Linked DNA regions of Oreochromis niloticus. The protein of the gene in region 2 purifies or fractionates together with the protein of the main gene of each other region. This does not show direct contact. Links are inferred from orthologs where the notes say so. Each region holds a gene or a part of one and is shown on either strand. Other genes may lie near its edges.

The links. The genes of interacting proteins can lie anywhere in the genome.
Region 1: the proteins of stk38a (region 2) and mob2a purify together in Homo sapiens (affinity purification with mass spectrometry; 7 studies listed by BioGRID and IntAct, with this or other methods). This does not show direct contact. The link is inferred for Oreochromis niloticus from reciprocal best matches to the Homo sapiens genes STK38 and MOB2.

Annotation. Positions count from the first base shown.
Region 1 is NC_031972.2:60,147,094-60,155,031, forward strand, and holds the start of mob2a (MOB kinase activator 2a), read left to right. Parts: upstream 1-4,859; 5' UTR 4,860-4,983; coding exon 4,984-5,099; intron 5,100-7,938. UniProt on the Homo sapiens protein: Stimulates the autophosphorylation and kinase activity of STK38 and STK38L.
Region 2 is NC_031984.2:35,168,816-35,176,658, forward strand, and holds the start of stk38a (serine/threonine-protein kinase 38), read right to left. Parts: upstream 3,098-7,843; 5' UTR 2,950-3,097; intron 2,918-2,949; exon of another isoform or gene 2,849-2,917; intron 1-2,848. UniProt on the Homo sapiens protein: Serine/threonine-protein kinase that acts as a negative regulator of MAP3K1/2 signaling. Converts MAP3K2 from its phosphorylated form to its non-phosphorylated form and inhibits autophosphorylation of MAP3K2.

The DNA.
Region 1 (7,938 bases), on a different chromosome or scaffold from region 2:
GGGCATGCTGTGACAACCTCCCACATGATCTAAACTCTTTCACTCTTTGCTTCTTCTCCTTGCTTTTAACTGTTATTCACACTTTTTCTCTTCTGTTTTTCCCCTTACGTCATTCTCTGCGGCTCAACCCTCTCACTTTATCACTCTCACTAATCTTAACTACTCGCTCATTCTCATTTCCTAGTCCTTTTATCCCCCCATATTTCATCCATTTCTCTCAGTTTCATTCTCAGTCATTTCTCACTGACATAATCCACGCAGCATCCATGGTGTTGGTGATTTATAAGCATTTGGATACGAGTCTGGAATTTCTCATCTCATGTCTGCTTCTTGCTAAAGTCCTGTCTTCCTTTAGCTTTAAACAAGAAAAAACACGTCCTCCTGTCTATTACACACAGTCTCTACTTTGCAAACTTTTTCATATTGAAATCAACTCAGTGCCAAAGGTTTGCAGCAAAATGTCTGAACTCCAGAGTAAGCTGACTTGTAACTCGCTTAAAGATGCAGCAGCAATTGATCAGACAGGTATAGTTCTTTGATGCCATTGCTGTTTTTAAATAGAGCATGAAGTTGGAACTCTGTTATGTTTGTTCATGAAGTGCTCACATATACCTCCCAAACAAGAATGTCCAAGTGAATTGTGAGCCAGAATGTAATGCTCTTGATCTCCTTGAGTTACTTTAAGACTGAACTGTTCTCTTTGTTTAACAAAGCTGTGTGTGCAGAAAGCAATGACATGTCTTTGCTTGTAGCCCTTCCCCTGCAGGAATGTAGAGCCAAGAAGAGATGAAGCAAAGGGCAGAAGAAAGCATATGTGCAAAGATTCAATGGCATAAAGGTTGAAGGGAGAACATGGTGGGCAAAGACTAGTTAGTCTTTCCTTCTGTAAGGGGCATGCTAAATTAATGTGAATGTTTTAATGCCATGTGCTTCATATGAATAGTGAGTTGAGACTGGTGTTAAAAGCACAGCTGCTTATTGCACTCTTTATAAGCCCAAAATTGTCTGTACAAAGTATGTGTAAGCACTTTCTAGCTGATCGTAGTCATTGAAGCTGCCTTTTTTGGTGGAGGTTTTGCATTTGCACAGACATACAGACCATACGTGCCCATTTATCTCCACAATTTTGCAGAAGGGAGAAAATTACAGATGTTGCTGCTTTTTTTTTTTTTTTTTTTTTTTTTTTTTTTGGATCAGATTTTTTCTTATTTTTGGTTGGTAGGGGGCCTGGTAGCAGATGCTATATTTTTATTAAACAGATTTTGCTTCTGCAGTTATGTACTGCAGGCCAGGTCGCTGGGTTCATGGTCCAAAGTGTCTCCCTGGCCCTGCTGACCTTTATCCGTGCCTATAGAAAACCCCCAGGCTCTAAAGACCTTCGGTCTGTGCTGTTGTTACTGCTTAAGACCTTACCTAAACACAGTGCACACTCCCACACGCCCAGAATGCAACACCAACAGGTCATATACAGCAACTTGGAACTACTCTGTTTCCGATTCATTTATTTTGGGTTTTAACACGGTTGGGTGCCTGACCTGTCTGTCATTTTGTCCCCAGCGATGATTGGCTGGAGAGTCACTGTGGCCAGACCAGGACTGGTCTGTTGCCAGGCCCCAAGGCGCATCTGCTACGGTCGTGACTCATGTAGCTCTGGCCTGGAATCAGTGTTTTCTTTGTCTTAAATACGTGGAATTTGTCCACTGACTTTTAGACTCAACCTGTTGAGCCAGCTCCAGAGATCACTGTTCACAAACATGTTTTATCCAGAATCTTCTATTCCACTTTATCATTTTAGTGATAATAAAAACTTTCAGCAGATTTTAACACATAAATTTGAATTCACTCGACGCCTTTTGCGCTGTTTTGCTTATGACGTCAGTGCTGTGGTGAATGAATATCTTACATTTCTTACAGTGCTTATTTTTCTTGTCTTATCTGTTGGTCTGATCAGTTCTGACTATAATTATCATGCTTAATGTTGTTTTGGGTTTTTTTACGGACATCAGATTAGGGCTTTACTCATCTGTCAGTATCAGTGATGTCAGTGTTTCCATAAATTGCCTCCATTTATTCTTTTTTTTTTTTTCTTTTCTTTTCACAAGCGTCCTGTTTTGTAATTAAATCCAATCCTTTGGCATCTCTTAATTAGGGTGGTCATTTTTGATTAGTTTAACATCCTTCAAGCAGCTTCCAGGTACTGATAAAAGTCAGTCTTTCTGTGGTTTTGCTTGTTAAACTAATCTACAAATTGTTGTTGCTGTGGATTTTACATCTGTAACCTTTTTTATAGTGGAAAAAAGTTCCTACACTTTCTCAAGAAGTACGCCTTACCCACAAACAAATGGATGTGTGTTCAGAGAATGGAAATTTGATCCTGTATCTGCATTACTGGCAGGTCATTACCGGACTTGGCCTTTTCTATCCAACCTTTCCTGTGTTATTAGTAATTTACAGCAATATCTGTTTTGTTGAAAGCAGGTAGCCTTGTCTGCGTATTTGAGGGGGAGGAGATTGTGATGCCAGCAGGGAGGGAAGAGTAAACCTCTGTGTGAGAGACAAAGGAATGTGGCAGTTGGTTTCCATTCACGTCAGACGTTGCATAAGAGAGGTCTGACTTGTACATCATCAGAATCCACATGGTCACACAGCGCTGCAGACTGCAGTCGTGATCACCTACTGCTCATTTAGTAAAAGAAAGGTCTAGTTTAGGTTAAGAGATGCCGCCTCATCTAATTTTCATGCCCAATTCACTAAAACGTTTTGTTCCCACAAGTGATTGTCGAGGCCAAGCGCTAGTGATCCTGAATGGATGTTTTCTATTTTCAGCAACCACTTGGGTCCAATAGTTAGAAGCAAATTAGTGGAAAGTTCCTCAAGCATGGGATTTCCATTATAGCGACACACTGTTTTCTCGTGATTACATGTAACACTTTTAACAGCAATATCACACTGTGATAGACCACATAGAAATGTGATTTTAGTGTTTATGATGTCCTGTAATGCGTTATTATAAAATTCCTTTTATGTTATTTTTCATCATTAAAATGACACCAAAAAGGATTGAAACTATTAGCAGTTTGAAGAACTTCCCAAAATGACAGTAAACACAAGCAGAAAATGACCAAGAATTGATGCAAATTTGCTGTACATTTTGGAATATTTAGAACTTTTTTTTTTTATGTTGCTGAGACCTGTAGACTTTTGATAATGACATATATATATATATATATATATATATATATATATATATATATATATATATATATATATATATATATATATATATATATATATATATATATAGCCCTCAAAACAAACTACTCCCACGTCTGATTATATATCCCCTTCTTACCTCTTGCTTACACAGTGACTGGTTAAGCTGCACACTTATTTGTTCCTGCTTACACACACACTAAGCCAGACACCCATGGCACCCCCCCCCCCCCCCCCCCCCCCCCCCTTTTTTTTATCAGTTTCTGTAGTCTTTATGATGAGGCAGGCTGATACTATAATTAGCATCTTAAGAACAGAGTCTGTGCCCTGTTCTGGTCTCTCTCTCGCTGTCTCTCTCCCCTCTTCCCCAGACTCCTCACAGCTGGTATCGGAGCCAGAGTGACTCAGTGTGCACCCGTAATGTGGTATGCAGGATGTGGGTGCAGAAAGGTGCCTATCTGACTCGCTGTCTCTTAGATTTTTTTTTTTTTTTAATCCATATAAGGGTTAACCATAAACAAGTACTACATATTCCTTACACACTCTGACAGTCTCTTCATCTTGCTCTTAAAACTGCATTCCCCGACTCAAGGCATGCACATAGCGCTACACAATCCCATAGATTTGTGTCCATGCATGAATCCATACTATAGCCAGGCAGGCACACTAAGTTTTGTTTGAGAAGATGGAGGAAAAACAGACAGTAAAGGAGTGAGGCAGTGAAACGCGCAGAGAGAGAATAAGAGGGCTCATCTGTTGTAAGGCAGTAATTAGAGGGAAGAACAGCGAGGGAATGATAACTTAGTAACACTAGTTGTAATCTTCTCATGAATGGAACATCTTCCACTTGTCTGTGTTCATTTACACTAGCACATTTTGTACTTAAGTGTTGTCGCTTCAGCTCTTTACTGATAATTTAATTAGAATTTATATCATACCTGTGCTTTTAAAAAAAATATCTCAAATGAGAAATGCAAAGAAACCTCCAGATGTTTTTTACAGATCTGCCTTTGGCTTTTAAGCAGGCTTTGTTTGATTGGCTCACTGGTTCTTCAGCTTTTACAGCATGTCTGAACTCGCCTGACTGCTGCCAGCCTATCATAAATGAACTCAAGTGAAGTTCAGAGTGAACAGAAGGAATGTTGCTCAGCATGCAAGACAATTAAAGTGAAGGAAGGTTTTAATGATTATTCTAACACAGGAATAAACGATTTTTACTTACACTTGCAAGGCTTTTCATCCACAATTTTCATTTTCGGCAGATGAGTTTGAGCATTATTTAAAATGCCTGTATTGGTTTTAGTTATATTTGCACCGACTTATTTTGTGAAAGTTAACAACTTTAAGAATGCATATGCAGTTTCACTGTTGTAAACCCAGAAACGGTCATGCTTGTGTAAATCCGTTGTATTAGAGCAGGTATATAAAGTCTAGCGACACCTTTTTATTGTGTTGTAGTCGTTTACCTGCGGACCACCTGTTGCTACATCGTAACTGCAATTCTGGGGAAAGGCTGAACCACGTCCACATGGGCAGACACTGACGTCACAACACCCCACCCCCTTTACACTTTTCTTCCCCTCTGTGATTGGACGAGGGCGACAGAGGAGGAGCGCCTTTCTGTAAAATGTGCTCACAAAGTTGTTTTTTTTTCTCTACCCTACAGTGAGTCACAGCTTCTCATAAGTCCCAGCGTAGTGTTTTTACAGGCAGACTACAGCTTAACAGTATTAAGGAGAGACTCTGACATCTGTCTTCATGTTTTAAGCTATGGTCAGAGACTCTTACTCCTTTTCTGGAGATAAGAAGGTCATGCACCCTCAGAGAAACTCTAAAACCGGACTAAGTTGCAAAATGGTGCTCCAGGCAGTCGGAAAAGTACTAAGGTAAAACTTACAATACTTTCGAATTAAAATATATTTGCTATTAACTTGAGTTTCTACCCTGTGTTGTTGCTTTTAATGAAGCGTGCAGTAGGTTGTTTTAGTGTTGGAAAGCTGCTTTTATCGAAGACGCAAAAACCCGCGTTGCCTTTGCGTGTTGATTTCACCGCCTTCTGATTACAGCAGCGATAACAGTCAAATATTTGTTTTGTTTTTGTATCTAAAACTAGAAAGTCTCTAGCCTGTGGTTAAATCAAGATAAACTTGCTGCCTCTTGTCTGCAGTAATTACACAAGTATTAGGCTCCTGTGATTCTGGGGTCAGTGCAAATTATCAGGATCACCTGAAAACTACTAATTCCTTTCGCTGCAGCTCTTAGCAAAACTCAACAAGAGCAGGAGAAATGTGACACTGTCTTCTCATCCAGTCTAATAAAATATTAAAGACGCCTGTAGTATTTTAACATAGTTAATTGTGTTAGTCACAGAAAATGATTACCCCCCTCCTTTTTTTCCCTTAAAGTAAAAATGATTAAAAGGTCAATTATTTGCCAAGGTGATGTGTAATTAGCCTTTTAGTTTATAAAAAAGAATTTTACTGCTATCTACTGGTCATGATATGAAGGCTCAGACTTAATACCTGAGGAATGCCTGACCCCAATATAAGGGTTAACTGTGTGTTTGTGTGTCATACAACGTGATAGAGCTACGCCAGTTATACAGAACAAATTCGTGTCCCCCCTCTTAGTGTCAGAGACCCACAGTCATTATGACTGTGTTCCTCCAGGGGACAGACAGTCATGTTAATGCTGTGATGAAGGTTCCTGTTACTTTTCAAGTCTTCGGCCAGGTGTGTTTCTTTTCAAGCAGCAGCCCAAAGGGCACATGCCTCACATCCTGTGGTGTTTTATGAAGATGTGGAGAGGGATGGTGAGGGGACTCTCCACTATTGTAGGTTCGCTTAATATATTCTAGGCTGCATATTAAGAGCAGCAGCAGAAAGTGTTGTTGTACAGTATGTTGTCTTCTGCAAGATCTGTGGCAAGTAGAAACAAGTTTTTCTGCTCCTTCTTTCTTGCGAATTCAACCCCTGTGCTCAAGAAATTAGCTGATCACCAAGAAACTACAGCCTTAATGTATTTGCCTCAGGGGTGATTGCGGGGAGGGCGAGTGGTTCCAGAAATCTTGAGTAAAAACTAAATAAAATTACCCTGTTCGGGTTAACAAAGACACATAGTTTGGATTACATAAGGTGGGTGGCACCTTAGAGCTTGTTATAGCTTTTGTTTTAACCTATTTCCTCCTTCAGTCAGTGATTCAATGCCCTTGACTTAGACGCTGGTATGAATAGAGGTTAGACAAAAGATGGCTTTTAGCTATTTTGCCTTACCTGTTCTTGTCTTTTTACAAGTAGATCGATCAGGGTGTAGAGAAATTTGCTTTATTTCAGTATTTTGCTTCCTGTTGTGTTAAATCAATTCAAGATTACACTCCCAAGTGGTTAAGTCCCAAACCCTATTCCTGTTACATGTTTGTTGTTATGATGATGAGGCTCGAATGTGGTGCTCACAGGGGTTTCTTGCATATTGTGCTAGACTGAGAGCCAGTAACTGGGATGTTTGATAGGATAACATGTAGAAGAAGAGGTAGCTAGGACAGGGCCAGTAGAGAGTGTGTGTGTGTGTGTGTGTGTGTGTGTGTGTACATTTACATATGTTTAGGTCTGCACTCTGGCTCCAGTTCTCATTTACTAATTTGCGTGGCTGCTTTCTCCCCCAGTAAAGGCGTTGATTAAGTGGTGACAGCTGCACTGTTGTAGTTTTTGTTTTCTTGTCCAAAAACTAAAATTGGCAAAATATTCAAACTATACTTAACTCTGAATAAGGCAATACTTTTCTGACTTACCAAGGCTGAACGTCAGGTTTAGTCGATGCTTAAGTCAGTCTCTTTTTTTAAGCTCTGTAATGGCTGCTGTGGTGGAGCTTTGGTGCGCTCAGACTGCTTGCTTTTTTCCCCTCTTTGTGGTTTTTCAGGGCAGGGTGCCATTGGGTCTATTTAATTTAAGTCCTGAAATAGATCAGCAGACTTGGAGAAAGCTGCTTATTTAACAAAATAGCAGAGTTCATTCACTCCATCCTGGTCTTATCATGAAATTTCAGTATTATCCCGGGTTTTATCACACTTGTTTGGTTTTTTTTCTTCCTTTTTTTAAACTTGACTAGCATAATAATAGGCTTAGAAATGAGACTGTCACGTGTTTTTTGAGGTCTGGGCATGTTTTATTTCCTCGCAATATGACCTTCAGTGGATGCCAGTGCTTTTTTGGGGGGGGGGGGGGTTCTAAGAAGAGAACAGAGAGTTGCTTTATATTTATACATTTTTGTTTATTGTGCCAGTGCATTTGATTTTTTTTTATTAGTCAAATCAAAGCTCTTGATATAGAAAGCAGCTGTCTAAAAGAAAATGGTAAAAAGAATTTGTCAGTGTCACCCGACCAGATTGCATTAAATGCGTCCATATGCCATTCGTTGGATACCCCTGTTATCGAAAAAGCCAATTCAAGCAACAGTTGTGTAATATGTTGCTTGCTGGGAGCCAGAGGCTCAAGAGGAACATGGGTTTTGTTGAACAGGTTTTCTTTGTTTGTGTTCAGCTCACAGAAAAACCAGTAAAAACTGAAAATGTTGGGGTTTTTTTTTTTTTTGTTTGTTTGTTTTTCCAAGCATTAATGTCAGTGATTTGGTGATATGGGGTGATTTAATAATTTGGTGATATGGAGATGATTAACTATGGAAACAAGAAGTCGGCATGGTCTGAATACTCCTGAAGCAATTTAGTCGCCA
Region 2 (7,843 bases):
ACTGCACATTTACTGCAGACAGACAACGCAGAAGAAAAACAATCAAAACAAATCGACGTTTAACATGACATGAAAACATGAACGCGTTCACGCATTACTAAAATATGACGTCTGAAAAACGAATAAACTGTGACGTGTGGTGCTTAGTGCTGTGCACACTGTTTGAATGTTCATGACAGCCACTGAATTAAAAGCTGAAATCTAAAATAATAAATCATCCGCCTATCTGACGTCGGGTTGCAGGGCCTGCAGCAGGGAAGCCCAAATCTCCCTCTGCTACCTCCTTCAACTTATCGGGAGAAACATCGAGGCGTTCCCAGGCCAGCCAATCGATATAAGCTTCCCAGTGTGTCCCAGGTCTACGCTGCGGCCTCCTCCAAGTAGGACATGCTTGGTCTAAATACTTTACCGAGGAGGCGACAGCTTTAGCTGTGTCCTTTCAATGTGGAGGAGTAGCAGCTCCCAAATGACTGAATTCTTTATCTAAGGGAGAGCTCAACCACCTTTCGGACAAAGCCAATTTGTATCCGCAATTTAATTCTAATATTGTTAACAAAAAGATTACGCCTAGATTTACAGATTCATGGTGTTTCTCAACAACAATGTGCCATCTGGTGGCAGATAGCTGCCTAACATTCAGGACACAATAATATATCGAATCATTATTCTGCCTGCCTGTCAATTCTTGCACTCTCACTACGATCAGCTGATTTCAGTTTGGATATGGACATTAGCTTTATTGCACAAAAGGATGAGAGCGCAATGGTAAAGTGGAGGACAGAAACAACTGCCTCATACTGTTAACACAACTTTGGCTCTTTGAAAGCACCTGCACAGCAAGCATGCTAACGCTAAGCTAGCCAAGAGCCCAGAGTGATGTTAAAGCTGAGTAAATGCTGACCCCAGACCAGCACCATGATAAAGTGAGCCACAGCTGAACATCAACAGGTAACAAACTGATGAACAGCCAGGCTGCAGCTTCTGTTCTACCTGTTCACGTTCCTACAGTAGAATCTCTGTGGTGATCACTTTAAAGTGTCTTATATTTGATTTGTGTCATCAGCTCTGTTTTCATACCTAAATGCTCAGAGAAAGCTCAGGTGTGTCCTCATTAGGACAGGGATTTGTGTTGGTGTGTGGGGGTGTAGCCTCAGGTTTATATTATTAATTGGTAATTATCAGACAGTGTTTCACATCATTCAACATGAAAGTAACGTAACGAATCCTAGGTGTAATTAAGTAACGTACTGCATTACCTTCAAGGAAAGTATTCTGTGTAATATGTGCATTAATTACTTATTTCAGTAATGACTGGAACACTGATCACAACAAAGAGGGGAACACCTCCAACATGCACAAACGTAATTAATTTGCATGAATACGATGTCTTTGATATGCTGCTTAGACATGGTGGTGACTCAAAGTGGAGCCAATGAGAATTGATAAGTGATATCTATAATGGAGAAGAAACTGCTCAATTCTTCCCCATCCCTGGTGATTACAGGACCAGTGCTGCTGGAAACATGTTTCTCACTCAGCGTCTCAGTAACAGCTCAGCCTCTTTGCTCTTAATGGTGTGCACGCTCCATGTGACAACATCCTATTCACTTCAGCTGCTGTGTTATCAGTCTTTTTGTTTATAACTGGGGGCTGTGTGGGCTTAATGTTGTTATACTTTTTATTCACACGCTGCCCCTAAGTACGTTTCTGTTGCTGGTCTGTTTTTAGTCGCACATGTGGGTGAAGCACTCATGCTACAGAGTGGCGCAGCAAAACCTTTTATAATCGAATTACTCGATGAATTGTACACTATATTGTTACATACTTTTTGACAAAGGATTCAAACATGTATAAAGAAGGAACTTACACATCGGACTGTTTAACAATTTGTTTAGGAAAGCACACAGGCTTCCACTGTGGGAAATCAGCACACAGATATCTCCAACCTCCAAACCACCACTAATCCCAAAGAACCCCAAGAATTATCTCACTAAGTTTATAATGGTAGACTCATAATAGCATGCTTCCCTGCAGCCTGTACAGCTAACATTAGTAACTTTAGTTATATTTGGTGTGTGGGAGAGTAAATTAGTTTTTATGTGTAGTAAACAAATTCTATGGTTTAAATATTCAACACGTGACACAATTAGAGAGAAAAAAAAAGAGGTAAAAACAGAGGAAAAGCCCATTTCATGTTTTGTCAGACGTTTAGGACGTTTCACTGAAGCCCACACCCTCTGCCTTTTTCCGCAAGTTGCATCTGCTCAAAGTTTTATGATCTCAGATAAATAAGTACATTAAAAGAGGAAATAAATAAAACGCGACGGTCAAGAAATAGCATTGAAACCCGACAGGAGCCAACAACACGTAGTTCCGGATGCACGCAGTGCCGAAAGAGTCAAGAATTACGGATAGAGGATAACTTAAGCCAACACTCACAATCCTTCCTCAGTTCTCTTGAAGTTTAGAACTTTAAATTTACAAAGTTTCATTAATCTCACTCTACTACACTAACTTGCTATCATTAGTTAGCTAGCTAGTTTGCTATTAAAGTTCCTGCCAGCGTAAAGCCAGCGAGGGAAAACATAAGCGATACCCAATACTTCCTTCAAAATAAAACGGCCTTTTTTCGAGGAAATGTTTCGCCTCAGCTTTGAACGTACGCGTCTTTATTTTTTAAAGCCTTGACCAGAAAACACCGGCCTTCGTACCCACTGCTTTACAACTTGACTTGAAGTTCTCCAAAGCAAACAGCTAAGTGAAAGTTAGCTAGTTAACGTTAGCTACTTATCTGCTCAAAGCGCCCTAGTCGTTTGTTACAAGTACAATAAGGAACAAAAACACATACGCGTTACTTGTTTCACAAGGCAGCGAAAAGAAGAAAGCAGCTACCACAGCGACTTGTCGTCGTTTAATTCCACGTTTTAGAGTTACTCTTTGTTCGCTTACCTTGGTCGAAGGTGCGGTGTCTGTCGCCTCTTGCTCTGCTTTGCGATGAGCGTTGCGTCACCAGCAGTTTGAACTCAGCGGACACCTAGCGGCGCATCATGCCCTCCTCCGTGAGCCAGCACAGGAAAGACGGTTGATTTCTCCACTGCGCGTCACATACATGACACTGAGCGTTCACTCAAACATGTGGCAACATGTTAATAATTTGATTTTCATAAGACGACCGAGAAACAGCTCAACGGCGTTACTGCTAACAACAAATATGCACTGTACTGTAAGAAAGCAACATTATTTGACAGCAGTAACAAAGCTCTTTTTAGAATATAATAGTTTTAAAGGAATATTAAAATAATAATACACATTCAAAGGAAATCAAGAAAGCTTTAAACTCAGCAAACAATAAAGTTACAGCTATAAAATATAGGCTATTCTCTGCATAAAGAGAAATGAGTTGCCTCAAGTTTCGCAATAATATTTATTTTTGCTCTGTCCGGTAGTTAAACACACCCTGTTTTCTCTTTAGGATCCAATTTTAGGATAATGCATAGCTGGACTGGCCATCGGGCATACCGGGCATTTGCCCAGTGGGCCAATAGTGATTTTTCGTTTTTATGGGCCGATGGGTTTTTTGTTTTGTTTTGTTTTGTTTTTGTAACGGTATAAACAATGAAAGGTGGTGGATTGGCCAAATGCTGGTGTAAAAATAACTGAGTTGTTTGGTGGTGGCTATGGCGGAGCTACCATAAAGGCCAGCAGGTGGATGAGGGAAAGGGTAGGCAGGAGGAGGAGAGACCCGAGGCGGCCACCGGTCCGAGTGTCAGGTGAACTAAACTTCAGGTAAGAAGTTATGACCTGCAGTCTATCCGGGTCAGATATAAACCAAGTTTAGGTGGAGTTTATTTTCATTGTACTGACTTTTTACAGTCAGTTACAATAACTTGTACTGCGTGCTAGCTAGCATGATGGAGTTTCTAAACAGCTGGGTGGGTGCTGTGATGTTACTGATAGTGAACTTTATTTTATTCATGAGGTTAGTTAGTAAAGTTGCCAACCGTCCAGTAAAAAACAGAATCGTCTGGTATTCAGAGAAAATATTACGCGTTTCGTATTGAGGTGAAAAGGAACACAGTTTGTCCCGGACTTCAGCTAGAATGGAAAAGACACAAAGCTGGAGTTATTCTGTCTTTACGCTGCACAGCTGCCTCTTCTTCTCTCATTCTCTCCCCCTCCCTCTCCTGTTTCTACTTCAATCATGAAACTGATCAATGATCAGCTGATCGGCTTTTCTGTCTTGTTTGTTTATCGCCCACTTTGCGCCAGAAAGAGGAAACCAGCGGATGTCGCGTTAAACAACAGCAGCACCTTTAAGCTTGATCAGCTGTTGTTAGAATTTATTTAATATTAATTTCTAGTGTCAGCTGATGTTTGCTGGAGCCACAGCTGTAAAGCTGCTGGTCATGATGTCGGTTTGGATATGTGGTGAGAGGGAAACATGCAGATGAAACCAGGAGATGTCCTTACTGAATCATCAGAGCTGAACAGGTGATGGAGAAACAGGTTTACCTTTTAGGTGACATGGATGAGTTGAAGGGAAGTTATGAACTGTTTCTGAGAGACAAATAACACCAGGATGCTTTTCTATGTAGCTGACAGCTGGTAACTGTGCAGGGGCGGGTCTAGCAAAGTTTTGCCAGGGGGCCAGGTAGGGCATTAACAGGGAAAGGGGGGCACAAAGAAATACTTTTCTTTCTTACTCTCATTTAAAATGTCTCGCTTTTAAAAAAATAATTATCTGAATCTTAAAACCAAAGTTTTCATCTGATGTAAAATGTATAGAAATCATAAATATACCAAAAGACAGGGTACATCACTGTCACAACAGCGTTTGTTTTCATTCAAAGGCTTTATGGCTTTTCCTATAATACCTGGTGGGCCGGTCTCTAGTCAAAATGCCCGGGCCGATTTTTTGTCCCAGTCCTGCCCTGGGATAATGTATTGCTGGTAATGCTGGGAAAAGTTTCACACAAGTGTAAATGGATCATTAAAGATTCATAGGGTAGGGTAGACGGCTTGTTACACTTTCTACGCATGAATTGCTGATAATTGATACGCCTTTCAATAAACATTTCTCTATTAAATCAGAGCTTAAGGTGCTGCCTCCAAATGGGAAATGTTTTCATTTTTGCATTTACTTGGAACTAAAAGCCATTACCATCAACAACAGTCTGATACATTGTATGGGTATGTTTCCCCTACATAGATAATAATGGGGTTTTAGTAAAATATAATTTTTTGAAAGGATACACACGTAAACACATAGTAAGGGTCAAAAATTTTAGAACACCCCAGTTTTTCCACTTATTTATTGCAGTTCAAGTCGTTCAAGTCCAATGAACAGCTTTATATGGTACAAAAGTGGTGAACTGCCAGAGGTTAAAAAAAGGCAAGGTTACCTAAAACTGAAAAATAACGTACATTTCAGAATGATACAACATGGGTTAACAATTTAATCTGTTCTGCAACAATGGAGATTGATCAAGCCTTGAAAGCTGCTGCTACTAATTCCTACTGCTGTTCCAACATTTCTGGATTACGTCCAACCTCCTCTGTCTGCATAAAAGCAGTGTTGGAACACACTGTGGTACCAAACCCTCGTCAGCATCAGTTGAACAGTGTTGTACTGTAAGGTGTCAGAGACTACAGTTTCCTTCACCATCCAAAGGCTCAGAAACAAACTGTGACAAGAAGAGGTCTGCAGACCCAAAGACACAATCAGAGGACAAGTTTCTGAGAGTTAACAGCTTGTGTGATCGGTGGCTCACAGGACAACTCCAATTGCTTATTTTTACTATTCTTTCATTTCAGAGTGCAATGAGACATCAAACTTCATAATTTTCCAAAAAAATCTGGAAAAATTGGGGTCTTGTATAGCTTTTGACCATTAAAAAAATTATTTATGTATGTTTTTTCAGATAGAGATGTCAGTAAGTTTAAAAATGAACACCACCTAATGCCCCCATGAATTTGAAGCAGTGATAAATACTATGAAATATTTTACATACGAGCAGTGAAAGGAATGAATTTACAGTACTATAATCCTGTAGCTATTGTTAAAGCCAAAACAACCCAACTGTGGACAGATTCCAAATTCCATGGCTGTAATTTTTGTATTTCTAACTGATGTGTCATTGATATCATTACAAAGGACAGCCATGGAATTTGCCTACGTCTTTTTTGCAAGATTGAGAATAAAGATGAACAACATTAATATTAAACTGAACTGCTCTCCATATTAAATCGTGATGCTCAATCATCCAGGAAAGGAACGTCTTATGGTCTCTATTTAAAGGTTGCTAGTCTTGATCCAGTAACTCTATAACTCACTCAAAGTCACACAAGTCAGAGGAGTACAATCTCTGTGAGATCAGTTTATGCTTCAACACAAACTATTGTGCCAAGACATAAAGAAACAAAAACCCACTGCCTTTCCATGCCCTCTTGATAAACATTTGAACCTAGCTAACACATGGCTTTAGCTTTTAATAACTCTCCTTTAAAAAAAAATCTACTAATATTGTATTATCTTTTAATATAAAAACAACAACATGAAAAATGACCCTGGTCCATAAAAAGTACAAAGTACTTCCTCTCCTCAAACTTTTGTATTTTCCACAAACTGACCACTCCAAAACACAGACAGACTGTCAGGTCAACAGTGTCCTCTAATGTGGCAGCAACAATGTAGCAATGTGGCATCCAACCCAACTCTACCCCACAGTGTCGGTGTCCTGCATAGGCCAGTTTAGACCCTTCTTTGGGTGCTGAAGTGCCCCCAAATGTCATCACAGCACACCTAAAAATAACTATCAGTAGTAAGAGTAATGTATAGTATTAATTTCTGGCTTTGTGTTCACCTACAGGATAGAATGAAAACAGGTTTAGCGGTCCAGTGTTGTTGGTATCATACTGTCATACTCACACAGAGGTGTTGTGTGTGACACAAACTGGTGCTGTATAACTGGTGCTTTTTTTACTCCGGGAGAATAGAAAAGCACTATATAAGAATCAGTCCATTTACCATTTAAAATTAAATGGTTAGACCCCCGAATTTAAATTTGGAATGTAAAAAGGCTACATTATTACTACTACCGTTAATATTAATTACAAGGCACAGTATGCATGAGATTTTCAATGGGGGCTGAGCCCACCTAAAGGTTTGATCCTAGAGCTGCCCTGGTGTCCTGTTTTAGGATCGCAACAACACCATTGTTGCAAAAGTGCTTGCTGCCAACAGAAAAAAAATCAAGGAAAAGGTTGCATTTAACTTTTATTGCTCAACAGGAAAACACAAAGACTTTAGATGCTACTGAAAACCATCTTACTCTTCCCGCAGAGGTCCGAGGAATCTCCCGGGAATAGTGATTTATGGAAAACTGATTGGTCAGTAGGTGGTTTCATACCTACTGATCTCTAATCTGGAACCTAACCTGCCCTACAACGATTACCCTGACAATTTAACCCAATAAGAGCTGAATCACGTTCACAGCTGAAAACCCTCCAGTTACTTGGATAATCCAGAATCCTTCTGTGTAGCACAGGTCTCTGGTGTCCATTCCTGGTTTTAGTTTGAGTATCGTAGTCCTCCTTTCAGTTTATCTTGCCCGCCTTGTGTCTCCTGCGTCTCTGTTTGAGCTGTTCTCGTGTTTTGGTTATTTCCTGTTTTATTTTGGTAGCCTTTGTTATCTCTTGAGTTTAAGATTCAATTTTCTTCCCCTACTCTTGTTTCTACCAGACAGACTGTCAGGTCAAATATGTGATATCACAGAATTACACAGTACTCTCTATGTGGCAATAACAAGCAATGTGACAACTGACACAGGTCAACCATGCTCCA